2 linked regions of the Schizosaccharomyces pombe genome follow. Each later gene encodes a partner of the first gene's protein in a complex. Each region holds a gene or a part of one and is shown on either strand. Other genes may lie near its edges.

Region 1 (12,898 bases):
CACGAGCTCGGCTAGATGTGTTTCCATTATCCAATTGTCCAAAAGCAACCGAATTATCACGAAAAACAGAAGGTCGATGGGAACTCCTTGAATGGAAACGAGTTCCAAGTCGACGTCTTGCATGCTTGGGAGCAAAAACTTCTCGTAGAACTTCCTCTCGCAGTTTTCTGTTAATTAATGTGGTTCCCCATGGAGTTTTGGGCGGTATATCAGCCACGAAAGTAGGAGATACTGGCCGTTCTCCGGCTGAAGATGATTTATGGTGTAAAGATTTGGGGCTTCCATAAGAATGAGATCTTTTGTCGGGAAGCATCCATTCAGGAAAAATATGACGGTTTTGCTCAACACTAACCTCTGGAATGTATCCATAGTCTTTTTTCTGATAACAGCTGTTAAATGTGTGTTTATGGGGGGCAGGTGTTTTAGACGATGATTCTGTATTGACATATTCCGTAGTAGAATCGTTTTCTTCTGTTTTAGTAATAGTATGAGTCACATTTAAAACACCAATATACTTTGGGATAAAGGGAAGCAATTCTGGATGGCAAGCTTCAATAGTTTCATAAAACGTATTTTCATTTCTTGTAAGTGGTTTGCAAACGGCTCTTTTAGAAAACCGGAAGAAAGCCGTATGTCCACCGACTTGATGTTTGAAGGGTTCCAATCGTACAGTAACCGGATAATCAACATTCCAATGGAAAAAAGGATGGTCTTCAGGAGGAGATGATGAGACAGATGATACAGATGATCGCGGGGTGGATGCAGGACTTTGATAAGAACGGGATACCGACCTTTCAAGCTCAAACGAAGCATCAGGTAGTAAAGGGAGGTGTTGAGATGACTTTTTAGAAGGATTATGTGGTATGTAGGTGGCTGTGGTTTTAGAACTACCACTATCTTTTCTTCGTTTAGGAGCTGAGCTCCGACCACGAGATGATCTTCGACTTAGTGATGTATCTTTTTCGGAAATAACTTCATCTAAATCATGCTGAGCACCAACACTTGGTGATCCAGATTTGGAGAGCCTTTCAGAAACAGATTCAAGAGGACTCGACACGTTGTGCAAAGCAGTATTAGTACTGTTACCGGTTTCTAAGTTATTGGAGGTAGAAGACTCAAAGAGACGTAATGACCTGCTTGCCTTTCGAGACGGATGAGCAGAATGAGCACTTGCCATATCATCAGCTTCAGAAACGGCTGAAGACTGCAGCACCGGTACTGGTGATTCAGCAACTGAATAAGAGGAACCACCTAATTGCAAGTCAGCTAGACTCTTGTGAATTGAATCACTCATATATTCAACAGGGGTGTGTGTTCTCAAAGGGGTTTGTTCTTGTGAATTACTTCTTGTTAAAATTAAGCGAGGGACATCTTCCAAGCTCGTAGTTCGAGGGTCTACAGCAGATGAATAGTTACTTAGCCTTCTAGGCGATAAACTGTCTAATGACTTAGGACCTATGGATTCAGAATGCATAGTAAAATTATTGTTATCTTCTGATTCATCGTACAAGCATTTTAACGTTTCAGGACCTCGATCATGAAAATTCACGTCTCTGCCTTTACGTGAATTCGGCAGGTAACACTTTGGTGCGTTCTGCATAAATTCATAAGTTTATCTCTATTAAATTAATATTTTTCCTTAATTCCCCTTCAATTCCTCCAATTTGTCCGATTTTTATTAGTTTACCTTTCGCAGAGACCCGCTTTGGTTCTTGGCAAGTTTCTTACTTTGCTCTAGCTTACAGTATAATGAGGCGTATAGTGAAACTACTTAAATTCATTATTGTCAGCAATACTACACTACGCTATGATACACTACGTTGCGTATCACTATATGTCATATGTTGGAATACTAGCTAAGATCCGTTTATTGATAATCACGGGTAACTATCCGTCTATATACGTAGATACCCGTTGATAACAACTATTTAGAAATATTATAAATAGCGTTACAACTGAACTGAGGAACGAGGTTCAGTTATGAGCTATATTAGTGATAGGTAACATTATAACCCAGTTAATACAATACCTATACTCAGTTGCTACTTATACAACCTGCGTATTGTAATATAATAGATCACAAGGAAAACTCACCGCAGTTCTACGTATCCTTAAATCAGATACCAAACTGCGTAGCTTACAATTATTCTACTCTAAAGATCCACATAATAATACACCGTATCTGTCATTAAATTACGCATTGTGTCAGCTATGCAATCATTAAAACACTTAATGATACTTTAGAACTGCGGTGGGTTTTCCTAATATAAAAAATAATGTTAAATAAAATTCTGTTTTCTATACAATAATAAATATATCAAAATATTAAGAGATATCGTATAGTATTATATGTGCACTAAAATAGTTTACAATCAGCTGAGGAGTACAAATCAAACTTCATCAATATTTTTCTAATTAAAGAATAAGTACTTTAGAAGCAACGTATGTTCACGGCCGAAAGAAATGTTGGTAAAACACAATTATAGGTATAGTGATTGTTAACGTATCGTAAGTATAACGCACTAGACGTTAATTATATATTTGTGCAGTACAATGGATACCCTTCTCTTAAATTTCAGAAGCAGAGATCAGAAATTTAACACCAATGTTTACCTCAAAAATATGCCGTCTATAGTAATAGGCAATATTACTTCGAAGAGTATTGTTTTTGGGGAAAAGGAAAAAGCTAGCGATGCCGCCCGTACGTGCTGAAAAAAAGCGGAAAACTGATTTGATTGAACAAGTTTGCGTTACAAATAAAGCAGGGGAATTAGTAGATTTAGAGGACGTTCTAGAATATGGCCCTTATTCATTAACAGGAATTTTATCTTCTGAAAAGGATGAGCAAGAACCATTGTTTGATGAGAGCATTGTTCTGGGATACTCGATAAAAATATCGCCTGTTTGGACATACAATCTAAAAGACGTTCCTGAGAAAGAAACTATGAGCATATGGATCGTTACACCTCAAAGAAGATACGGAATTTTGTCTCCTTCTTCTGAGTATAAAGCCATTTACGAACAGATCAGCGAGAAGAATCGATTGTTTTACCTTATTAAGACAAAATTCAAAGATGATATGATATCTGGTACGTTAGAAGATTACGATAATTATATCGAAGTTTTAAAGGAAAAGCTAGAGCTTCCTTCTTGTTTTCAAGCAATTCTCTTAGTGCAAAAACATATTCGCTTTCTGTTAACCCAAATGGTTGCGACTTCTTCATTACATGTATGGTCTGAATCACCTTTTTTTATAAGAATTCGATCTTCATACGAACATCTGATTTTACAAATTAATAAAAACATTTACAATGCTCGTCAAGAGCGAAAGAAATCAAAGTTATCGTCAAACAATCCATCGGACAATAATACTACTATGAAAAGCTCTTTAAACCAAGCTCTTACTTTAATTAATTTACCCGAGCAACCGTTTAGCATTTCCTCTCCCACAGCAACACCACAACTAGGAGTTGTAAAAAGAACTTCTCCATTACGGTTTCCTTTGAATGATATTTGGCTTTCCGGTTTAAGGATTGTTGATCCAAATATTGAATCGATATCATTATGGAAAAGAATACAAGTTTCAACCTCTCCGAAGCATCAACGTTATATTAGCCTTCAAGAAGTTTGCAGCGTTATTGCTCAACAGCTACAAATAACAAATTTGGAAGCTTTGAATAAACTTTCTTCCCACGGCGAAACCCTTTTGCAAATTATGCATACTGCTTTCACGTGGAGAGGTACTAAGCTTTTTAATGATATTAAGCACGCAATTGGTTTTAGATCTTCTGTTCAACAAGCACGATCTCAATTCCGTGGATATTGTTATGATTATTTATTCATGCATTGTAACAATGGAGAAAAAACAAGTCTACATCTCTTGAGGACTCTAATATGCATGAAACTAGATTTCTCAAATGCTCAATTGGCGGCCAAGATATTATTTCATTTCTTGTTATTTGATATTGGATCAGGCCTTTCTGGCTCAGATTATACATATGAACAATACATTAATCACTCAGCTGTCGCTTTCAGTTTTACGGAGGAAATTTTTGAAAAAAATTTTGTTACAGTTCTTCCTGACTTTGTTAAACTTTTTTCTATTTCTTTTGGTTATTGGCCTGCATTCAGCTTCTATGATGAATTATTGAAATTACTTCGCAACAAATATCCCAAAGTATATTCATCAACTCCAAATTTATGCGATCAGGTATGGCTGGATCGAACAAATTTATTCCCTTGTAATAGGTCAACGAGGTCGACTTTACCGTATAGACCTACAAAACTGCTCGATTTAGCTTCCGCATCTTCCTGCTTATCCAAAAAGGAAACAGATTTTAAACAAGACACTGGATTATATTCATATAACTTGGAGAAAGTTGAGGCTTTAAAAGTTAGTCCGGATTTACAGACTGGTATTTGGTCATGTCCAGTACAAAATTGTTTGTATTTTGCTGTTTGTGACAACCCGTATAAACCTTCTCAGGTCATTTACGATCATCTTTTAGGACATGTAGATTCCAAGTTTATATTTAAAACTCCTTCGAACAGTGTCCGATCGTTTACAAATAAACTTGAACACATAATGTACAACATAAATTAATGATAGATATGATGATTTTTACTAGTAATTAACAAAAGACACACTGCATTAAAGTTAATATATAGTATGTTTATAAAGGATTACAATTTTACATGGCTAATGTCAAATACACTTTACTTTACAAATATCATGTGTTCATAAACAATTTCAAAAACACATTTTGTAACAACAATTTGATACGCTTATAAATGTGCCTATTAAAGTGTACAAATAGCTGAATTATTTGTCAAATGTAATATAGGACGATCAAACAAAATCAAACACCAACCCTTTACAATTGTAAAGTTAATGGCCGTTCAAAATACCAGAACCCATTTTTGATAATAACTGAGACCAAGCGATAAAATAAAAACAGAGGAATGTAAACGCCAAGAACTACTAAATGTTCATGCGTAAGGAAAACGAGCAAAAAACGAGTATTTATTTTAGAAAAGAGCAATACTATTAAAAAATTGTTCCAGAAAATACGGACCATACGCGACGATTACCCATCTTTTTGGTTTTGTAAACGTAAATAGAATCATCTAATCATGAATCAGTAGGAGCAAACATGAGTATGATGAGGCTCACTTCTTTGACATAAAAAAATTAATGTGATAGGATAATATCCTAAATTCGATCCCACTCATAGATAGAAGAAAGTGTAATTTCAACTCTAATACAAGAATGGAGCCAAAGTAAACAAAGGAATGTACAAATAGGCAAGATCCTGTGAAAGAAAAGTACCTGTAAAATAAGGATTTTATGATATAAAAGGACAAGGTTGACAAATTAAATCAAATCATAAAAAAATTAAAAAATAAAACAACATTTTCATTTTTTTTTAAGAAACACGCAGTATTTTGGCTTAATAAATCTTTTTCTTTTCATCAACGGAAAACTTGCCCGGTCCAGTGTTGACGAGATATAGGAGACCACCAACAATAGACAAGGTTTGGAAAAAGTCGTAACGATAAAAGTCACGATAGGGACTTTCACGAGGAACCGACCAGAAGCTGTTGATAATGAAATTGGCAACAGATAGAATAAGAACGAGGACTGCAGCGAAGAATTTAGCCTTAAAACCAATGACCACCATGGCACAGGCTGTAACAGACAAAATATGAACTAGAATTCGAGTCCAAGAAATCCCACTTCCTTCCTTAGCCAAAAGACCCAAAAACATAAAGATCAAAAGAACACGCCCAGCTAGTTGGAAATAAGTACGTTTATTGTGTTCGGAGACGGCCGGTAAACCTGCAAATCTATTGATACGACGATGAATAAAGGTGTCACTGGCAACAAGGCATAATCCACCGATCACGCTCATGTTACGAAAGAACATTTCACCACTGGTGATGAGCCCATATGCAAACGCTTGTAAAAGTGTAACAAACAAAAGAGAGCCGATGGCATATGCCTGACGCTTTTTAAACACGACCAATGTCGAACCAACCAACATCAGTACAACACAAACAAACAGCAGCAACGGAGCAGTCCCAAAACGAAATCTGCGGTAGTCCCGCATATAAGATACTTGTTCAGGCCATTGAGTAACGATCCGAATAGCGTCTTCGAAATAAGTAGCGACAATTAGGAATCGACCCAAGAGCGGCATATACGGAGTAAATGGTGCCATGAACGTTTCAGCTTGCTCCATAAACTGACATGCTCGCTCTGAAAATGTCTTTTTTCTGATACCCACAGTAGTCCTTGTTTGATATGAATCCTGGTTCATAGAAAGCGGGATTGTCGAAAACGGCGAACGTGAAGTCATCTTTTCAGCTCGTATTAATTCGGGGTTTTTTTGGTGTCTATAAATATTTAATCCTTAAACTTCAAATATCTCTTAGAAATAACTTGATAAGGCCAACTTCCAGTTTCCTCAATTCAACCTCTTGTATGGAGAAGCGCAAGTTTGTCTCTTCCTTTGTTGCTCCTTATGGCCTGTTGGCATGCAGTCGTCATCCAGGGCAAACCAGAATTTCCTAAAAGGACAGCATTACAATTTGATGAATTTGGGATAATTTAAATAATTCTATGATCCTTATTTTTTTTATTTTTATTGAGATTCCTGAATATTCTTCAACCTCTACACTGATTTTTTATTTTAAGGCTCGCTATTAAGCGCAAATTGGTTTAGTGTAGTCTAAGAAATTATTACCTCTTGCAGTGAGTTAAAGAATGGGATATTTAGGAGAGCCAAAGACTTATGAAAGCTGCTTTGTAATGATTTTTAAAGCTTGAAAATATAGGTTTAAATTTTAGAAACTATATTTGGATGGCGTTCGGATGTAGTTTGAAAATTAACATGAGTCGTTAATTGATCACATTTATTGATGAAAAGCAAAAATAAATTAATAAAAGGCCCCATTTCCATATCACAAATGAATACTTTCAAGTTAGTGTCATAATTAAATGAATTTAGTGGAAGTTAAGTTTTATGTGTGTGATATTTACACTTGACATTACAAAAGCTATTACTTTCTTAGCAAGAGTCGTTGTAATGAACATTTGTAAAAACTTTATACAAACAAAATTTTAAAGAAGGGTATCGTATATAGGTCAAATACGTGAGTTAAGTTCAAATCTCAATATAGTCATTTGACGGCGAAAACAAACTTATTATCCGTGGAAATTTTGGTAAATCCTTTATAGCAACATCAATGTGAATATTAGCTTATTATTAAATTTATTTTATTTTTATTTTTTTCTTATTTTTTTTGGCGGGATATTGTATTATTAAATAATCATAACAATTATAAGTGCACTTTTATTTTTATTTTAAGGCATTTAGAAAAGCCGACTGAACCCGCCGGAGTAGCAATTTTCACACATAAAAAAAAAAAAGATAAAAAAATTTATGAATTCGTCTTGTATTTAAATTAATGGTTCATCTTCTTAAAAAAAAACTTCATTATATGTGACAATGTAGTACAATTGCTGGAAGTGTGATTTGAGCAAATGCACATTAGCAATAAAGTGTAAAGTTACCGAAGCGAAGTCTTTTCGTTACAAAAATTGTTTAGTAGCATATAGCTGAAATAAAAAAAAAAAGACGAAAGCAGAAAGAGAAAATTACATATTTCTTGGGAAAATATAATTAAAATTTATTTTCACATCCTTACGAATTTTCGTTGCTTCGCCCGACTCTATGCCTACTTTTCAACATATGCTGAATAACTGATGATTTGACGACTAATTGGATGTTTTAATAAAACATATCTATGGTTTTTCTCTTCAGTATGATGACTTTACTTCAACTACTTACTCGCAATCTCTCGGCACTTTTTTGAAAAGCACAATAACAATCCTGTGTCTCGAAATTCCAGAAGGAAAACTATGTTTTCGATATTGCATATTTTAGTTGAAGCAAATCTTGCCACATCCATATTTGATGAGACACTACATGTTAAACCAAATGTTTCTTTGAATATCAAAGAACATTAAATTTAACATGTACATGCATGAAAGAACCATTCTTACTCTTCAATTCCATTCGCACACTATTGAATTACTTACCCACTGTAGACTAACTTATCACAGCTGAGTTTTCTACTCTTTCACCAACTACCTAGCTAATTTTCAACTACACACGACCTTTTTACAATTGTTGTCATAGCATGAAATCCTTTTTATTTATTACAAAACATAAACAGGGATTTTTTAGTGAGCCAAACGAGAGCTTTGGATGACAGAGGTAAGCTCTTCAATCTTTCCCTTGGCACGCTTAAGGGTACCGAGCTAAAAAGTTGTTAGAATAAGAATAAATTCAATAACAAAACATAATATCCCATTACAGTATTCATAGCTCCGAGTCTCAAAATACCACAAGTGAATTTGAGTATACTAAGCTTTGAAGCTCTCTACGAGCATGTACAGTAACAGAACAAAATTTTACATACCCTCTTCTTGGCCAATTTGCGGGCACGCTTGTCTTGGGAGTTACGGATCAATTCCATGACACGACGCTCATAGGGAGCGAATCCAGCAACCTCACGAACGATAGAACGGACAAAAGAAGTACGCTTGGACAATTGTCCCTTACGGCGAGAAGGACGCTCAGGAAGTTGACGCTTGGTCAAAACCTTTCCTTTGTTTAAACCAACAACCAGACCAGGTGCCATTGTGAGATTGGTGTAGGGGAAAACTTACTGCGCTATAGTACAGACTATCACTGCCCTTAACGAAAATAACGGTCACAAAACTCAACCCTAACCTACATCCCTTTAACCAAAAAAATCGCACGAAATAACGATTCCTACCTCTGTATGGCTTATCAATTTTTAGCGTAAGTAAAGGAGGCAATACTACAGGTTCTCATTGTATTGTAAACAATGGAAATTGCTTCCATCTGCGGGTTTCAAAGGGTAAAGTCGAGAACGGTTATTACATAGTACTGAAACACTACATAATAAAACGTATTATGCCATAAATTATAACGAACGGTTCGTTTTTTTTGAAATTAGAGTTGCCCCTACGAGTAAATGTATGTCATTCAGTCTCCCAGCAATGCCATGCCCTCGTACGCAGCAGACGAAAGGCTACAGACAAGAACATGGGTAATCCCTTGCACTCAAATTGATTAGTAATGTATTTTATAAGCAGCAATGAAACAGCAGTCATACAAATCCTTGAGCATCCCGAAATATCACAGTATCCACGCTCCTTCAATTCCCGCATTTTCTACCGTATTTAGAAATGACTGATAACGCATTCCACCGCATCTCGTAATATCTTTTCTTTAGAAGAGGTATTGTCTTTCTTTCATCGTTTTGCTGTCTATGATCTCAAGAATGGCGATTTTCAGAGATAGACGTTATGGGTGCTAATTGTGCCATGATCGTACTCATCTTGTAAATCCCTGACGGTGAGAAAACGAGTTCTCCGTTTCAGCAACATCGGTGGTGTATGAGATAATGGATAACCAGTCCCAACCAAATATTTACAGAACCCTCAGACGAATTCGCTGGAAAGTAACATTCCCATCATCAGAAGGAAGACTCCTCTTGTTATGAAAATTTCACTAGCAAGTGACATCGATAGCTCCTAGCGTTCCTTATTTCACATCCGAGAGATCCTTACTATATTAGTCGGGAACCCTTTACTGCTTGACATTTACCGCTCTTGAAACTCGTTACTAAACCGGATATACGGAAGCTTAACACGTTCGATATTAAACAATATCGTTTTTGAAGGGATCAACTTTATTATTGGCTTACATAACGTTATCTAGAGTGGAGTAACTCGTTATAGGGGTCAGCCAACACAAAGCGTGGGCCTTTGTATAACCTGTCCTTTGCCATGTTTCTGTTAAATTCATTAAGTAGGATTACTCGAGGGAATCGATCCAAAAGGCATCAAAACCTTTCAGATGCAAGTAGCTCTTCTGGTTCTTTCTCCAAGAAAAGTTCTACATCGCAATTGGTGCGTACGGGGTCGCCGAGTGTAGAGCCTACAGCTTTGTATTTGCAGCAGCCATTTGTTCGGACTCATTTGGTAAAGGGTAATTTTTCCACGATCGTTTCTTTGCCAAGGTTCGTGGACCTAGATGAATGGGTTGCTTTAAATGGTATGTTGCTTTGTTTTTTGCAGTTTCGCGTCAGCAGAAGAATGATGGAGGTATTGGTTACTGGACAAGTGTTTTTAAATTTGACCAAAGCACTGTCTTTATCATCATTTTCCTTTGAGGGAAGATTCTTGACGGATTACTTTGCTAGGTTTCTTTGAATTGCATGACATGAATAGGAGGAAATTGAAGTGAACGTTCGATGGTACTAGGAAATTATACTTTGAGATAATTAGAAACCCAGGAATCTAGCTTCAAATTTTAAAAACCATAAATTTCAATCTTTTTATTATTATTATTATTTTTGTTTTTTCATCGTTCAACAAAAATTTCTTCTTTTTTTCCGGATACGTAATCCGTTCTGTCAACAACTTGTCTTGTGCTAACCGTTACAACTCTTTGCTTTTCTTCACGTTTTTTTTTGTTTCTTTATATATTTTCTAACTCTTTTCATTTTAGTCTACGAGTTGTTTACTTACCTCAATCATTTTTACGACGTGTTTGCTACATTTTGCACTGTAAAGACTTGTCCTGTTATGAGTGCTGCAGCCAAGTATGTGATTCTCTAGTTAATTATTTTCTCACCTCTACCTTTACTAACTTACTCTTTTATTATAGTTTCGACTATACTTGGTTGGATAACAACCGTAAACCCGTCCATTTACCCGCTCCCCAATATATTGAATACGTACTCGCTTGGATTGAAAATAGATTGCATGATCAAAACGTCTTTCCTACAAAGGCAGGCTTGCCATTTCCTTCAAATTTTCTTGTTATTGTTAAAGCCATATATAAACAAATGTTTCGCATTTTTGCCCATATGTATTATGCTCATTATGCAGAAATCCTTCATCTCTCTTTAGAAGCCCACTGGAATTCATTCTTTGCTCACTTTATTGCTTTTGGTAAAGAGTTTCAACTGTTGGATAAACGTGACACTGCTCCGTTAAAAGATCTTATTGTTGTCTTAGAAAATCAAGGAAATATTTAATATTCTTGCCGAAGGCAGGACACACTTCTGTTTTCTACCATTTATCTCTTTTGTTTTCGTCCTTTCCTTTACCCCCTCTTCCCACAAATACCCTCTTCCCTCGAATCCTCTCTCTGCTACACAGGCAGTAAGTTATATGCTAAATTCCTACACTTCCTTTTGTTCGTTTTTCGTTACCACCTTCATTAGCTAATTACTATTTGTATTTCTTGATGCCATTTTCTTTATTTTTACATCCTATTCCTTTTGGACTCTTGGCATATTCGCTTGCATTCACTGATTTCACGGGAATTTTTAAACAGACTTTGGCCGTATTCCTTAGAAATTATCTTCAACGTCCGTTTAGTTTCTTAACTATATCTTGCATTTTATGTGACTCATTCCACATTATTCCTTGATAATTATAAGAGATCTTATCCTTCTCAACAAAAATAATCCGCTAATGCTCTCCTTTCCTATATCTAACCATCAACTTCTTTTTTTAAAGTCCACAGCCTTGCTCCCCTTCTTAACCTTGGACTTGACCGATAAGCAAATTAAAAAAAAGTAAAACTTGTTACAACTGAAATTTGTTTTTGTTTTAATGTCCACTTTTTTTATAGCAGCAATTTACTCAAATGAACTGAAGACGTTTCCAAATTCGACACTTTTAATTTTTCCCTTCAGTCTTTTGTTGGGTTATTGGGCTTACTGATAAATAATTCAAAAAATTGTTTGTGGACGAACAGTGATTATAATTATTTCCTAAATTGAACGTTACATTCTCAAAGGATCGAGTTATGGTCTGACTCTCTTTTTATACTTTACGATAATTCAATTTTTGGGCATACTAATGGATATCCTTTAAACTGAAATAAATCTCAATGTAAATTTTGTTTATTTCTCTTTTAAGATTGCATTGGCTTGATCCTTCACTAGACTAGACTGTGTACGTATCATTGCTAACTTCAATCCAAGCAGATAAAAAAGTCTCTAGCTTATTCGTAAACATATAGTCACGTCAAATAATTAACTACTTAAAACATGTGCCGTGTAGTAAGATAAATTGCAGTAGAGTGAGTCGATTGGCAACATAAAACGAAGAACATTATTGAAACGAGGGAAGGGAAATAATCAAAATTAAAATCTAAAAGACAAATACTTGATCCTCAAGCTTCGAAATGGCTCGGGACTTTTCATATCCCAATGCAACTGTAGCTTCTCTGAGTGAATTAACCATGGGAGTAGGGCCACAAATAAGAACTTTGGTTTCAGGAGAAGGAGCAGGGAAATGCGCCTTGATAAGTTCTTGAGTAACAAATCCAACACTTCCCTTCCAGTTTTCAGGAGGATTGTTCAAAACATAATGAACGGTAAAACGAGGATCCTTCTTAGCAAGTGCGTCAATCTCATCACGAAGAACAATATCACCCTCTGATACATTAGCATATAAAAGAGTGATTTCCGTTGGATCTTCAAAATTAGAAAGAACAGCACGAATGATTTGAAGCATAGGAGTAATACCTGTTCCGCCTGCGATCATGCCAAAATGGCGCGCGAGGCCAGTGCGATGCTTCCAATTTCCCTTAGGGCCACGAACACCGATGGTATCACCAATCTTAAGTTCAGAAAACTTCTTACTCACTTTGCCATTGGGGTAAGACTTTACGAGCAAATCAAAATAACCTTTGTCAGCATCGGAAGACAGAGGAGTGTAAGATCTGGAATACTCCTTACCATCAACATCAACAAAGACCTTTAAATGTTGTCCTATGGG
Region 2 (13,654 bases), on another chromosome or scaffold:
TAAATTGGTTTTTATGATCCCATGGGAGCTTGATATTATACGCTAGTAAATATTAAGGGAAAAAAGGACCTCCCAGTGGGACAGCAAGTCAATGTACATTTGTTTACGTTGGAAGGAATCAGACGACTGTACATTTGAAAAGAGCTTTGCTCGATGTAATGATTAGCGATGTAGCTATGAAAATGTTGGAACGAATATCAATCTATGTGTTATTTAAGCTTATAAGGTTATCAATGTGTTTCTGCCACGAAACTTGAATCAACATTACTGAATTAAATCGTTTGTTTGGCACAATATCCCTAGTCGTTTTGCCCATTCTCCTCATTCGTATTAAAAAACGAAATCTTTATGTTGCAAAGATTAGGAATAACAGCGATGACTCATGAACATCCAGTATGCATTTCCTTTTTCGTTTTGGAAATATTAATAATTGGAAACCAAGTAGCTTGATTCTTAACAATTAATTCATTCGAAGCCCATCATTAACTGTATTGAACTTCATAATAGCTTTTTTAAGTTTTTCTTTGTAAACAATTCAATGTCCTATATACTTATTCTACAACTGTATGAACGCTTGATCCCAGTATATGTATCCATTTGTCAGTGGAACGATATTCAAAAGGTACTTCATTTAATGTTCAGTAAAGCCCCATCCACCTCTGACAATCTTTATAATTTATATTTGATTTGTTAAGTTAGTCTTTCCAAATCTCGAGAGCTATATTGGGGTGTCAGTTTGACTTGTAATCGTCATCATCGGTAACCGGTTGTTTCCAAGAACAAACTAGCGCCATAAAAATCACCACCATTGAGCTGGTTCACATAGACATTTTCGTCTTGAGAAAATATTCACCGAACTCCTAATTTACTGTCAATTGGCTTTTGTTTCTTGAACTAAGGCTATTGTAGTCGTGTTTGTGATACATCCGTTGGAACGGAAGTTGGTATAGTTTGGCAGCATTGCGCACTATGCCGTATATTAACAACTTTTTGGTTGGACCAATTGGTCTAGGATTAAAAAGTCTTACATGGACTGAGAATCCTGTTCCTGATGAAGAAGCGTTTCGAATTATGAACTATGCACTAAGTCATGGATGCAGTTTTTGGGACGCAGGTGAATTTTATGGGCTTTCTGAACCATTAGCCAATTTGCAACTTCTTTCAAGGTACTTTCAAAAGTTTCCCGATAGTATAGATAAGGTGTTCTTGTCAGTCAAAGGTGCGTTTGATCCTGAAACTCACCGAGTTCACGGGACACGAGAATGTATTACCAAAAGCATCAAAACTGTCCGAGAGACTCTCAAAAAAGTAAAGACTATTGATCTTTACCAATGTGCTGCAATTGATCCTGACACACCTATTGAGGAGACGATGGCTTGTTTGAAGGAGTTTGTAGATTCTGGTGACATTCGATGTATCGGTCTTTGTGAACCCTCTGTTGAGGAAATCAAGCGTGCTCATTCTGTTGTGCGGATTGCTGCAATTGAGGTCCATTATTCAATGCTCTTTCGCGAGATTGAATATAATGGGGTAAAAAAACTATGCCATGACTTGTCCATTCCTCTTGTAGCTCATTCCCCGTTGGCTCATGGTTTGCTAACAGGTCGTGTAACTACAATGGCGGACATTGAAAATTTAAAGAAGCATCATCAATGTAATGAGCAGCCTCCCTCAAGCACGTTTAGTTCGACTCTTCCTTGTATACAAGCATTGAAGGAGCTAGCTTCAAAATATGACATGTCGTTAGCAGAATTGGCCTTGAGTTTTATTTTGTCAGCCGGAAGGGGTAGAATTCTTCCCATACCATCGGCGACTAGTTATGATCTCATTGAAGCAAGCTTGGGATCATTTTCCAAGGTTTTAGATACATACCAATTTGCTGAAGTTGTTAGCTGCCTAGAAAAGACTTTACCGCCTCCAGCGTCTCCTAATTCAGAACCTCAAGTGACAGGAGGCTGTTCTAGTATGTGTTGAAAGTTAAAACCATAAACAGCACATAGCCACTGCTGCTTTGCTCAGGTTTTGTTAGGTTTGTGAAGATATTAGTAAATTTTGCTTGTTTCATATGATGCAAAGAGCAACAAAAGTTTGTGAGATGATATTGAAAGAGAGATTTGTTCTTCTATACTTATAAAACGGGAATGTGCCCGGATGTGCTTCATTTAATGAGAAGAACTGAAGAGTAACTGTTGGTGGATACGCCGTTTTAACTACTGTCAACGATCCTTTCATTTTCTATTAGTGTCATAACTTGCAAACAAAAGCGTTTCTTTTTCTTTTAAACTTCAACATTTTCGTTCTCTTGCAAATTTCTTACTACATTTCAATTTAATTGGGATTGTTGACTCGCAACACTCATTCCAAATTTCGAAATTTCTCTTTCTATGTATGTCTTATTAAAAAATTTCCTTTTCTTATATCACATCTTGTTTTTCTGTATATAACGCTATACCGACTTTTGTTTAGAAATGATATATCCATTTTTACTCTATACTGAGGTTTTATTTTTTTAATAGCATAGTAAACATCGTTTTAATAAACAGATTAATTTTTTAAGATCTAGCTATGTAGTCTTGCTCTTAGCGAAGGGTTTGTATAACAACATCAGATAAGCTCATTTAAAGTGACATTAGCACTAGCAAATTAGACATTCAATCTCTGCCAAGTTTTGCTAATTATTAGTTTAACAATTGAATTTTTTGGTAATTGACGGTGAAATATTATATTAAACATCCTGCGCCTTCATCGAGACCCAGCATATATAACCGACGTGACATTTCCACACATCTTAACAATTGCCGCACAAGTAATCATTTTTGAACAAGATGGTTTCCGATAGCAAATTGGAGCTTCCATTACCTGTAAACCAACAAAAACCTCGTAGAAGACGAATTTTAAAGGTTCATCTTTTAATTGCGGCTTTGATTCTGAGTGCGGTTGGCTATTTAGGCAAAGGCAAATGGATTTGGACTCCTGAACGAAAGGCTCACTTTGTACTAACTCATTTTCCTTTAATTGATGGGCATAATGATCTTCCAATATATCTTCGTGAAAATTATGATAATCGCCTTCTAAATATTTCGCTTGAGCACCTTCCTGGACAAACTGACATTTTTCGTCTTCGTCAAGGACATGTAGGGGGTCAATTCTGGTCTGTATTTGTCGAATGTCCTAGCTTGGATTCCAATAGTTCTCTTTCGTGGAATCGCACAGGTGAATATGAAGCTGTTACACAGACTCTTCAACAAATCGATGTTGTTAAAAGGATGGCTCTATACTACCCTAAAACATTCTCTTTGACTGATCATAGCGGTAAGGTCAAATTCGACTTTTTACGCAATCACATTTCAAGTATGATGGGCATTGAAGGTCTTCACCAGATTGCAGGAAGCCCATCCATTTTACGCCAATTCTACGATCTTGGCGTTCGCTATGCTACTCTTGCGCACAATTGTGACAACGTATTCGCCGATGCTGCGGTTGACGGAAAGCGTACTAACAAAGGATTGTCTCCTGCGGGCCGCGATATTGTCCGTGAAATGAATCGTCTTGGTATGATTGTAGATCTTTCACACACCACACCTGAGACCATGCATCAAGCCTTAGATGTATCAGTTGCTCCCGCATTTTTCTCACATAGTTCCGCTAAAGGGGTTTATGATCATCCCAGAAATGTTCCTGACGATGTTCTGATTCGCGTCAAGGAAACTGATGGCGTTGTTATGGTGAATTTTTACCCTGCATTCATTAGTCCACACCCTGAAAATGCTACAATTGATACCGTCGTTGAGCATATAATGCATATTGCCAATGTAACTGGATCGTATCGTCATATTGGCTTGGGTGGTGATTTCGATGGAATTGATATGGTGCCCAAGGGACTCGAGGATGTTTCCAAGTATCCTGATCTTTTTGTTAAATTGGCTGAGCGTGGTCTCAGTATCACTGAATTAGCAGATATTGCAGGCCGTAATGTGCTTCGTGTTTGGAAGACCACTGAAGATCTCGGGCATTCAATTCATGAGCCACCTTTGGAGTGGGAAGACGACTTTTAAACTTAATCGTTTATTAATAAGTCTACCTCTACCTCTTTATTTTATTTTTGGAAAAATTTACTGTATTATTCCATTTTGCCGGTTATGAATTTCTTACGATTAACGACAAACCATGCCTATTGCTTACTCTTTTATGCCCCTTGATGGATCGATTATTTTACTATTAGTTAACTAGCTCTCTTAGTTAATGTAATAAATTTTTGTTTGCTTTGAGATTATTTTCCACAGTATAATTTTTACGCATGTGTCCAATAATATAAAAAAGAAAAAGGAGAGTTAGTTATCCGATATGTGTTCATTAATTGGCAAATGCGAGACATAGAAAAACTCGATAAAAGACTGATGAAATTTGATTTTAACAGCACCCATAGACCCTTCAATCATCAAATAAATAAAAGAAACCACTGCATTAGCAAACATATTTTTTTAATAAATAAAAAATAACACACTTTTGAAAATCAGTTATGAATAAGCATTAAACGATCCCCTTCGATATGAAGAATGTGACCTCCTACGGTTATTATTCCCAGGCACGGGTAAGTTCCAAAAATCGAATATTTGGCCTATGCTGAGCTTCATTATCTTCTTCAACCGGAGAACCCTCACTGCTAACTGCGGCAGAAGGAGCACGCGATGGTCGACGACTGCGCGATTCGGAAACATTGTCAGATAAGAGTCCATTTCTCGTATCACTACTGCTTTCATTGTTCTCGTTGTAAAATGGAACTATACCAGGCCTGGGTATGTTATCATCCTCACTTTCACTGTCCCCAATATTAGTAAGAACTTGTTCACGACGACGGCGTTCTACACTATTTTCACGCAAATGAGATTCCGAATTTTGCCTTGAGTATCTAGGCCTATGATTCTCAATAGAACTCTCAATATGTCCAAGAGTGGGTTCCCTTTGTCTTTCGTCGTCCGGCTCATGTAAATTACGTTGAAAAGTATCATAGGAACGTCGTAAGAAACTGCGAAACTTGCGACCAAAACTTTTTGCCTTCGGATCCCCTTGAGCGAGTTTTTCATCAATTGAAGGTCCATTTGCATCTCGAGAACTGGTATGCGAAATAATGTTTCCTTGAGAATCTTCAACGACCAAGTCTTCGCCAATAAGATATGTCTCGTCACCAGGATTCATTTCTTCTTCTCTATCTTCCTCATTCGAGCGGCGAGGTTGCCGAGATTCATAGTCTTCAGAAGGAAATTCTTCAGCGTCATAGTGGCCTCCGCGTGGTGATTCAGCACGTTCTTCCCGTAGATGTGCGGCTTCAGGAAGCGAGACAGTTGATATATCAGCATCCTCATCTTCTTGAATGTTTACAGGATGACGCCTTCTTATGGAAGAAGCAATAGAGTTGGCAGAGGAGCGCAACGCATCAACTCTTTTAATTGGTAAGCTTTGTCCTTGACGAACACGAGGTAAGTTAAAAGCAAAATGAGAGTCCCTTGTTCTCGTAAACGACAAAGCCAACGTATTAATCCTTTTACCAAGCATGAAAAATGCAATACTGCTTCCATGAACAATGATAGAACTTAGAACCAGGAAACAAACTACTGGCCACATTACTTGTATGCAATACCAGTTTGGAATTTCAGGGTTTTCGATAGCATCATTAGGCTCAGGTACAGTGCTATGTACTTCTAATTCGGCTCGTGCAACCAAACAAGTATACAGTGCACCTACACCAATAGGACCAAAATGACCAGCAAAGAGAGCTTCTCGCCAATTGATAATATCAGGAACAAATGATTTAAATAATAAAACGGCAGGAATTCTCCTTGCAATTAAAATACATATAGCCAATACAACGAGTCGCCATACACTCAAATCCATATGTGGCATGTGAAATTGAGGCCAGGGCATGATAGCACCCACGTATACAAAAAAGGAAAGATTGAGAAGAAGGTCGATAACGTTGGAAACATGAGATTCTTCTGTTTTTTTCGAAAACCATGAGTCCCAAGAGAAAGCAGCACCAGCACAAAAAGAAACTAACAAATCATCGACACCAATGATGGTACCAATACCACCACAAAATAGTGCTAAAACGAAGTAGAATACAAGAAAACTTTCACGATCCATTAATCCTCGACGTTCCGAAAATTTAATCATCTTACGGGCTATTACACCTATTATTGCACCTAGCACACAGCCAAAGGTGCATTCGTATAAAATAATGATACATACCCAATCGCGGCCAGCATGTCGGGCAGGTTTCTCAATAATTAAATAAATAGCTAAATACAGAAAAGGAATTGCCATGCCATCATTACATCCAGATTCGGCCAAAAGCATGTTCCTAAGATGACCTGGGACTCGACGTGCAAATTTACCTTTACCGACAATAGAAGAAGCCAACACTGGATCTGTCGCAGTAATACATGCCGCTATAGCTAATGACTCCAGAAAAGAGAGTCTGGGAATTAAAGCATACATGAAGCCAGTACTTACTAGCCATCCAAAAATCATAACAGGCAAAAGCATAACAAACATACTGCGCCAATGTCGAAGCATATATGCTCTTGGAAGTTCAGCGCCAGCTGCAAAAACTTCGACAACTAAAAGGACTCGAGCAAGTTCCTCGGTGATGTAGTCGGTATTACCCCAGCTGGTGGGAACAAACAGTTTTGCAACGTAAGGACCAAAAATGAGACCCGTAGCAGTTGCCATAGCTATATTAAGTTAGTATGCTTCACATATATGAAGAATTGAAGAGTAAAAATAATATGGTGGAATATGCACACTGAAATATCTAGAGATCGCTCTTTATTTAACGAACGTAAACCGAAAGAATAATCTGGAATTACTACCAGCTAAATCAAACAATTCAAGTATCGTTTCAACACGCAAATCAAACAATTGTGCTTTGCAACCACTAATAACTTACTTGCTTCGCCCAAAAAAAGCTTTTCCTTAATAATTAAAGAACATAACATAAATAATGAAGTAAATCCTCCTATAATAGCATATGCTAGATGTGGTTTGGAAATCTCGACTTGACTCCATGCCATTCTCTTTCCAAGTCAACCTGACCTTGTAATTTCAAACCTATATAAACAAAAAGACAAATAAAAAACTTTATAGAAACTATAGAGAAGCTAATAGTTTACTCAAGCACCCAATTGTTTCAACAACTGGCGTTCGTTGTGGATAGTGGAGGATAAACATGGAAAACAATAGTTAGCTAATTGCAATGAGTCGCAGCTTGAAAATCTCTAAAAAACTGAAGAATTTCTAAAGTGAAAAAAAAGGCTTATTTAGTGAGATGGACACAAAAAAATAGCTTGAAAGTGAAATAGGAACTTCGTACCTTGTCTATATGTGCTGCTCTAAACCGACTTTTCTGAACGTCACTACTTGAGCACAAAATTGGTTTTTGCAGGTGAAACTATAGTAGTGAAAGAGCTCAGGCTTTCCACACATCTATTTATTACTTTTTATTTCACATTAGCACACCTATGCCTCCAGAAGCAAAACGTATCGTGGTTAAAGGCTTTGACCCACGAAAGTCGAGGCAAAGACAAGAGACCTACTATGTGACGATGATAGATCGTTTGAACATGGCTTTGCAAGTAGTGATGGCCGGTTTAGGCTTAAAAACAGGTTACCAAGAGTTATATTCGGGAGTCGAAAATTTAACAAGAGCGGATCAAGCATCTCGGTGCTTTAACATCCTACAACATCATATGTCTTCAGGAATCCAGCTTTTAAAGGATTCTGCGGAGTCTTTTATACAGCTTGAAGGGACTGAAACAGACACTAATGCATGCACCGTAGTAGTAGGGTGTTGGAACAAATGGTTGGAAAGAGTCGAGATTGTTCAAAACATATTCTATTACATGGACAAAACATTTCTTTCTCACCATCCAGATTACCCGACAATCGAAGAGCTGTCTCTGTCACTTTTTCGTGAAAAGTTGATGGCAGTCAAAAACATACAAATTCCCTTTTTGAACTCTCTTCTCCAAAGCTTTGAAAATTTACATAGCTCTAAAAGCACTGATCACGCCTATTTACAGGATGCGATGTTAATGCTACATCGCACGGAAATGTATAGCTCTGTGTTTGTTCCCATGTACTTAGTTATGCTAAGCCGTTTTTATGATACGGAGTCTAGCCAAAAAATTCAAGAGCTGCCTTTGGAAGAGTACTTGGAATATGCGATGAGTTCGCTTGAGCGGGAGGATGCCTACGTTGAAAAGTTTGATATTGTGCGCGATAAAAAGTCCATTCGAGAGACTGTTCAAAGGTGTCTAATTACTTCACATCTTGACACACTCACAAAGGGTATAAGTCAGTTCATTGAAAAAAGGGATGCCCATTCTTGTAAACTACTGTATGCATTACTGCAATTCAATCATGAAACCGAATATTTAATTCAGCCCTGGTCGGATTGCTTAGTGGACGTTGGTTTCAAGCTCGTTAACGATGAATCAAAGGATGATACTTTGGTTCAAGAGCTGTTATCGTTCCACAAATTCTTACAAGTCGTGGTGGATGAAAGTTTCCTTCATGATGAAACCCTTTCGTATGCCATGCGAAAAGCCTTCGAGACGTTCATTAATGGGGCAAAGGGATCTCAAAGAGAAGCTCCAGCTAGGCTTATTGCAAAATACATTGATTATTTGCTACGAGTTGGCGAACAGGCTTCAGGGGGTAAGCCTCTGAAAGAAGTATTTTCGGAAATTTTGGATCTTTTCCGCTACATCGCTAGTAAAGATATCTTTGAGGCGTATTACAAGCTGGACATTGCAAAACGGCTTCTCCTTAATAAATCTGCAAGTGCGCAAAATGAATTAATGCTTCTGGATATGCTTAAGAAAACCTGCGGTAGTCAGTTTACTCACTCTTTGGAGGGTATGTTTCGAGACGTTAACATTTCAAAAGAATTTACTTCTTCTTTTCGTCACTCAAAGGCTGCTCATAACCTTCATAGAGATTTGTATGTTAACGTCTTGTCCCAAGCTTACTGGCCCTCTTATCCAGAATCACATATCCGGCTTCCAGATGATATGCAACAGGATTTGGATTGTTTTGAAAAATTTTACCTTTCAAAGCAGGTTGGGAAAAAAATCAGTTGGTACGCTTCGCTAGGACATTGCATCGTAAAAGCCCGATTTCCACTGGGCAATAAGGAACTAAGTATATCGCTTTTCCAAGCCTGTGTCTTACTTCAATTCAACAATTGTTTGGGTGGAGAAGGGATTTCGTATCAAGATTTGAAAAAATCTACAGAGCTCTCTGATATCGATTTGACTCGTACATTACAGTCCTTGAGTTGTGCTCGCATTCGGCCATTAGTGATGGTTCCCAAAAGCAAAAAACCCAGTCCAGACACCATGTTTTATGTTAATGAAAAGTTTACAGATAAGTTATATCGTGTAAAAATTAACCAAATTTATTTAAAGGAAGAGCGGCAAGAAAATTCTGATGTTCAAGAACAAGTAGTGAGAGATCGACAGTTTGAGTTGCAAGCCAGTATCGTTCGAGTAATGAAACAAAAGGAAAAAATGAAGCATGACGATTTAGTTCAATACGTTATAAACAATGTTAAGGATCGGGGAATACCCTTGGTGTCTGATGTGAAAACTGCCATTGAAAAACTACTAGAGAAAGAGTATCTAGAACGCGAGGATAATGATATTTATACATATGTCACCTAATAGAGTATGCATTTGTTTTTTAATTGATTTAATTTAATTTTTCTGGTTATATGTTTATTCTTTTTCCATCCTTTTTGTTATTTGCTGGTGAATCTCCAGTGGATTTTTTTTCTCTATTCTCATATGTCGTTCATACACACACCTCTTTACCTGTCCGTGTCAAGTAATGCTATTGAAATCTGGAAACCAATTCAAGGAAGTCTGCACTGCTCTCCAATCAGTTTGGAAAAGGAACAATTCCAAAGTTCATTCTAAAATTGTACCTTGCATTTTTGCCTTCTACGAAAGTGTTCGCGCTAAGTACCGCATTTTCCAATGTAAGGATTAACATGGATGGAATGTGGTGCTGCTTATCACACTTATAGAACACCTTTATTTACAAAATCTAAAGTAAAAATTTAATAAATCTAATTAATTTTGTAAAGCCCAAGGTATTCTATTTTGGTTTTCCTGCCCATAAACACCTCTTATATTATTCATTATTTACATCTCTAAGTGACAGTGATGTGTGTGTTACTTGATGTAGATGTAGCTGAAACACGTGTTTGTTTGGATGTATTCAGAACCAACATCAAAACACTCCTATGTAAGCAATAAATTGAATAAGTTGAAGTATTTGGCGTAGGAAATTGGGACATTTAGCGTTATTGATTCTCTAAGCTTCTTGATCAGTTCTAGGTGAAAGCAAATAAACGGTATCTTCTGTTTTGTCCGTCACGAATTCCCTCATAAGAATGGAGTGACATAGTTAAAACGAGAAGGAATTTACCATTGATTCTAGTTTGCTTGATCTTCTTTGATTATATAACCTAGCTTCTCACCTACACATCTACCCCAGCATGCTTCTAACAGACTAAACACAAATCAAAAGCGATGCGCGCGCGTCCTGTCTTCATTAACGTTGTCTAAAGTGTATTACTGTATTATTAGATAACGCGGTTGGTATTTTTTGCTGTCAGATTTTGCGAGCTTGGTGTTAGATCACGTTATACGTCTCTTTATAATGACATGGCTCCTCTAGATGCAATGAGGGAATTTTCGGTTACGCCGCTGCGCATGCATAGAGTTTGTGAAAAAGTTGCACCCCACAATCCCCTGTGACCATGACTAAAGGTAGAACCTTTTTTGAGGTGAAGCAACTGTATATGAGTTTTTGAAACTATCGGTTTTGTAGGTGTTTTTGAGCGTCTCTATTTATTTACATTGCTAATCGAAGTCAAGAAACAACAATGTCCGGTATGTTGTAGCGGACGCGGCTGGAATCGCTGAATGGTCGCTCCCTCTTTCACAGAGGCGGGCCATGAATCGCTGTGCAGATACATGTCGTCAGCGTTACGGGAGTCATCATTAAAAGTCCGCAAACGGATCCGCCCGTACAATTTATCAAAATAGTCTCGCTCGTGTATTAAATTGTCGTTAAAATACCCTGTCCGACTTTGACAACTACCATTACACCTACCGCTCATTTTTTACCATTTGGCTGTACTGATTGATTACCTACAAGGATATCATATCAGCCTTTGGAAAATACGTTTTATTAAATCGACGCTTATCTGCGCAATCGTCGAGTGTATAAAAGGAGCACACTTACATAGCTGAGTACGCCGTAAGTGTTGTACTTGGTTTATTATATTTTTTTTTCTTTTTCTTTGTAGTTTGCTTCTCTTCGGAGTCACTTTAACCACCCCCTCCCAACTCAACTTAATTATTCAGTCTTTGCGGCCTCTGTTGATCCTATCCATTTCTTCAACTGACCGAATATTATTTTACCCCTGATATATTTTCTTTGTTGTTAAAATAAAGACCCATTTCTTCATCTTTTAAAAATCTCCCCTCTTAAGGCTTTTCAAGCAAACAGTTGATATCCACAATTTTTTTAACTTTCCTTGATTGTGTTTGTGGATAACTTATTACCCCCCTCTCTCTCCCCTCTTCTTTGTGTATTTTTATCACATAATAAGTTAGCATCTTTTTTTGTTTCTCTCGAAGTTTTCTAGTAGTTGCTTGTTAGTATGCTTTTTTCTCGGTCTATTCTCCGAGGAATGCCAAAGGCTGGCATTCCAAAATCTCCCTTAGCTTTATCGGCTTCTCGCAATCTTCGCCTTGCAAACAGCGTGCGCTTTGCTTCCGATGCTGCTTCTTCTCCCAAGAGCACCACAAGTAAGTGGAAGATCCTGAAACGTACTACATTAGGTCTTTTCGCTACGGCTGTTGTTCTTTATGGTGCCAATGTCTACCGTTTCCGTCATCCTGATCCTCATCAACCTTTGCCCGATCCTTCCAAAAAGACTTTGGTCGTCCTTGGTGCTGGTTGGGGTGCCACTTCTATTCTTCGTACTATTGATACTTCTCTCTTTAACGTTATCGTTGTTTCCCCTAGAAACTATTTCTTGTTCACTTCTCTTTTGCCTTCTACTGCCACTGGTTCCGTTCATACTCGAAGCATTGTACAGCCCATTCGTTATATGCTCCGTCATAAGTCCTGCTATGTTAAATTTTACGAGGCTGAATGTACAGACGTCGATGCCGACAAAAAGGTCATCCATATCAAGAAAACCACCACTGATGGAGTCGATTTAGAGCAGGAAATCAAGTATGATTATCTTGTTTGCTCTCACGGTGCTGAAACACAAACCTTCAACATTCCCGGTATCGCCGAGTATGGCTGTTTCTTGAAGGAAATTTGGGATGCCCAAAAGATTCGCGCTCGTATCCTTCATTGCCTCGAACAAGCACAGTTTAAGGATCTTCCTGCTGAAACTCGTCGCAGATATGTACATACTGTCGTAGTTGGCGGTGGTCCTACTGGTATGGAATTTGCCGGTGAAATGGCTGATTTCATTGAAGATGATCTGAAATCCTGGTATCCTGAACTTGCTGATGACTTTGCCGTTACTCTTGTCGAAGCTTTACCTTCTGTTTTGCCCATGTTTAGCGCCAAGTTACGTGATTATACCCAAAGCTTATTTGACAGCAGCCATATTAAGATCAGAACTAATACTGCCCTAAAAAAGGTCACTGCTGAAAATATCCATGTTGAAGTTAAAAACCCTGATGGAAGTAAGCAAGAAGAGGTTATCCCTTACGGATTATTGGTCTGGGCTGGTGGTAACCGTGCCCGCCCTCTTACCAAAAAGCTCATGGAGGGTAGTGAAGAGCAAAATAACAGACGTGGTTTAGTAGTCGATGAATACTTAAAATTGAAGGGTTACAAGGACATTTTCGCTCTAGGTGATTGCACTCACACCGCTTATGCTCCCACTGCTCAAGTGGCTTCACAGCAAGGTGCCTACCTCGGTCAACTTTTTAACAAACTTGGATCGTTGAACTTTGAGAAGCCTAGCGAAGATAGACACATTGCCCTCGGTGATGAAATGGATTCCAGCACACTTATCTCTTTAGCAAATGAGAAGCATGCCTCTACCAAGGTCTTCCTTCCCTTCAAATACTCTCACCAAGGTTCTCTCGCCTATGTCGGTCATGAGAAAGCTATTGCCGATATTGAAGTTCCCTGGTTTGGAAAACAACTCCATGCAAGCGGTGCTCTTGCCTTCTACTTCTGGCGTTCGGTTTACCTTTCTGAATTATACTCCTTGCGTAACCGTACCAATGTTACACTAGATTGGATTAGAGTTAAGTTATTTGGACGTGATATTTCTTCCCTTTAAATTGGATTTGATGAGACATTTTTGTGATTCGCCTGTTTGATTAATGCATGATATTTGTTGTCTTGCTTTATTCATTGGGTTTACCGAAAAATTTGGTTTTCCTTACATACCGATTAATTGATTGTTATTCGTTCGTAAACATTCAAGTTTAAGAGTATATTTATAGTTGTTTTGTAGTAGATTCTGGCACGTGTACATAATTTAAGCATCGTGCAATATTACCTTTAAATTAAATGTTCTCTACATACGTATTATCTAAATATG

What was found.
Region 2: raf2 (region 1) and cul4 share a complex: the UniProt entries of both Schizosaccharomyces pombe proteins name them as parts of the clr4 methyltransferase complex.

Annotation. Positions count from the first base shown.
Region 1 is NC_003421.2:498,167-511,064, forward strand, and holds raf2 (CLRC ubiquitin ligase complex subunit Raf2), read left to right. Parts: upstream 1-2,598; 5' UTR 2,599-2,692; coding exon 2,693-4,603; 3' UTR 4,604-4,714; downstream 4,715-12,898. Other genes in the region: kcs1 (inositol polyphosphate kinase), read right to left, coding at 1-1,600; erv29 (cargo receptor protein), read right to left, coding at 5,451-6,359; rpl3601 (60S ribosomal protein L36), read right to left, coding at 8,249-8,326, 8,488-8,709; protein kinase activator Mob2, read left to right, coding at 9,887-10,154, 10,611-10,704, 10,770-11,142; cbr1 (cytochrome b5 reductase), read right to left, coding at 12,269-12,898. UniProt on the Schizosaccharomyces pombe protein: Component of the Clr4 methyltransferase complex (ClrC) which contributes to the establishment of heterochromatin by specifically methylating histone H3 to form H3K9me.
Region 2 is NC_003424.3:3,445,539-3,459,192, forward strand, and holds cul4 (CLRC complex subunit, cullin 4), read left to right. Parts: upstream 1-7,406; 5' UTR 7,407-7,517; coding exon 7,518-9,722; 3' UTR 9,723-10,209; downstream 10,210-13,654. Other genes in the region: SPOM_SPAC3A11.11C (pyridoxal reductase), read left to right, coding at 970-1,974; dpe1 (dipeptidyl peptidase), read left to right, coding at 2,826-4,055; nde1 (NADH dehydrogenase), read left to right, coding at 11,735-13,390. UniProt on the Schizosaccharomyces pombe protein: Required, indirectly, for activation of ribonucleotide reductase through the degradation of the protein spd1, thereby supplying deoxyribonucleotides for DNA replication and repair. Also has a role as a scaffold for assembling ubiquitin ligases.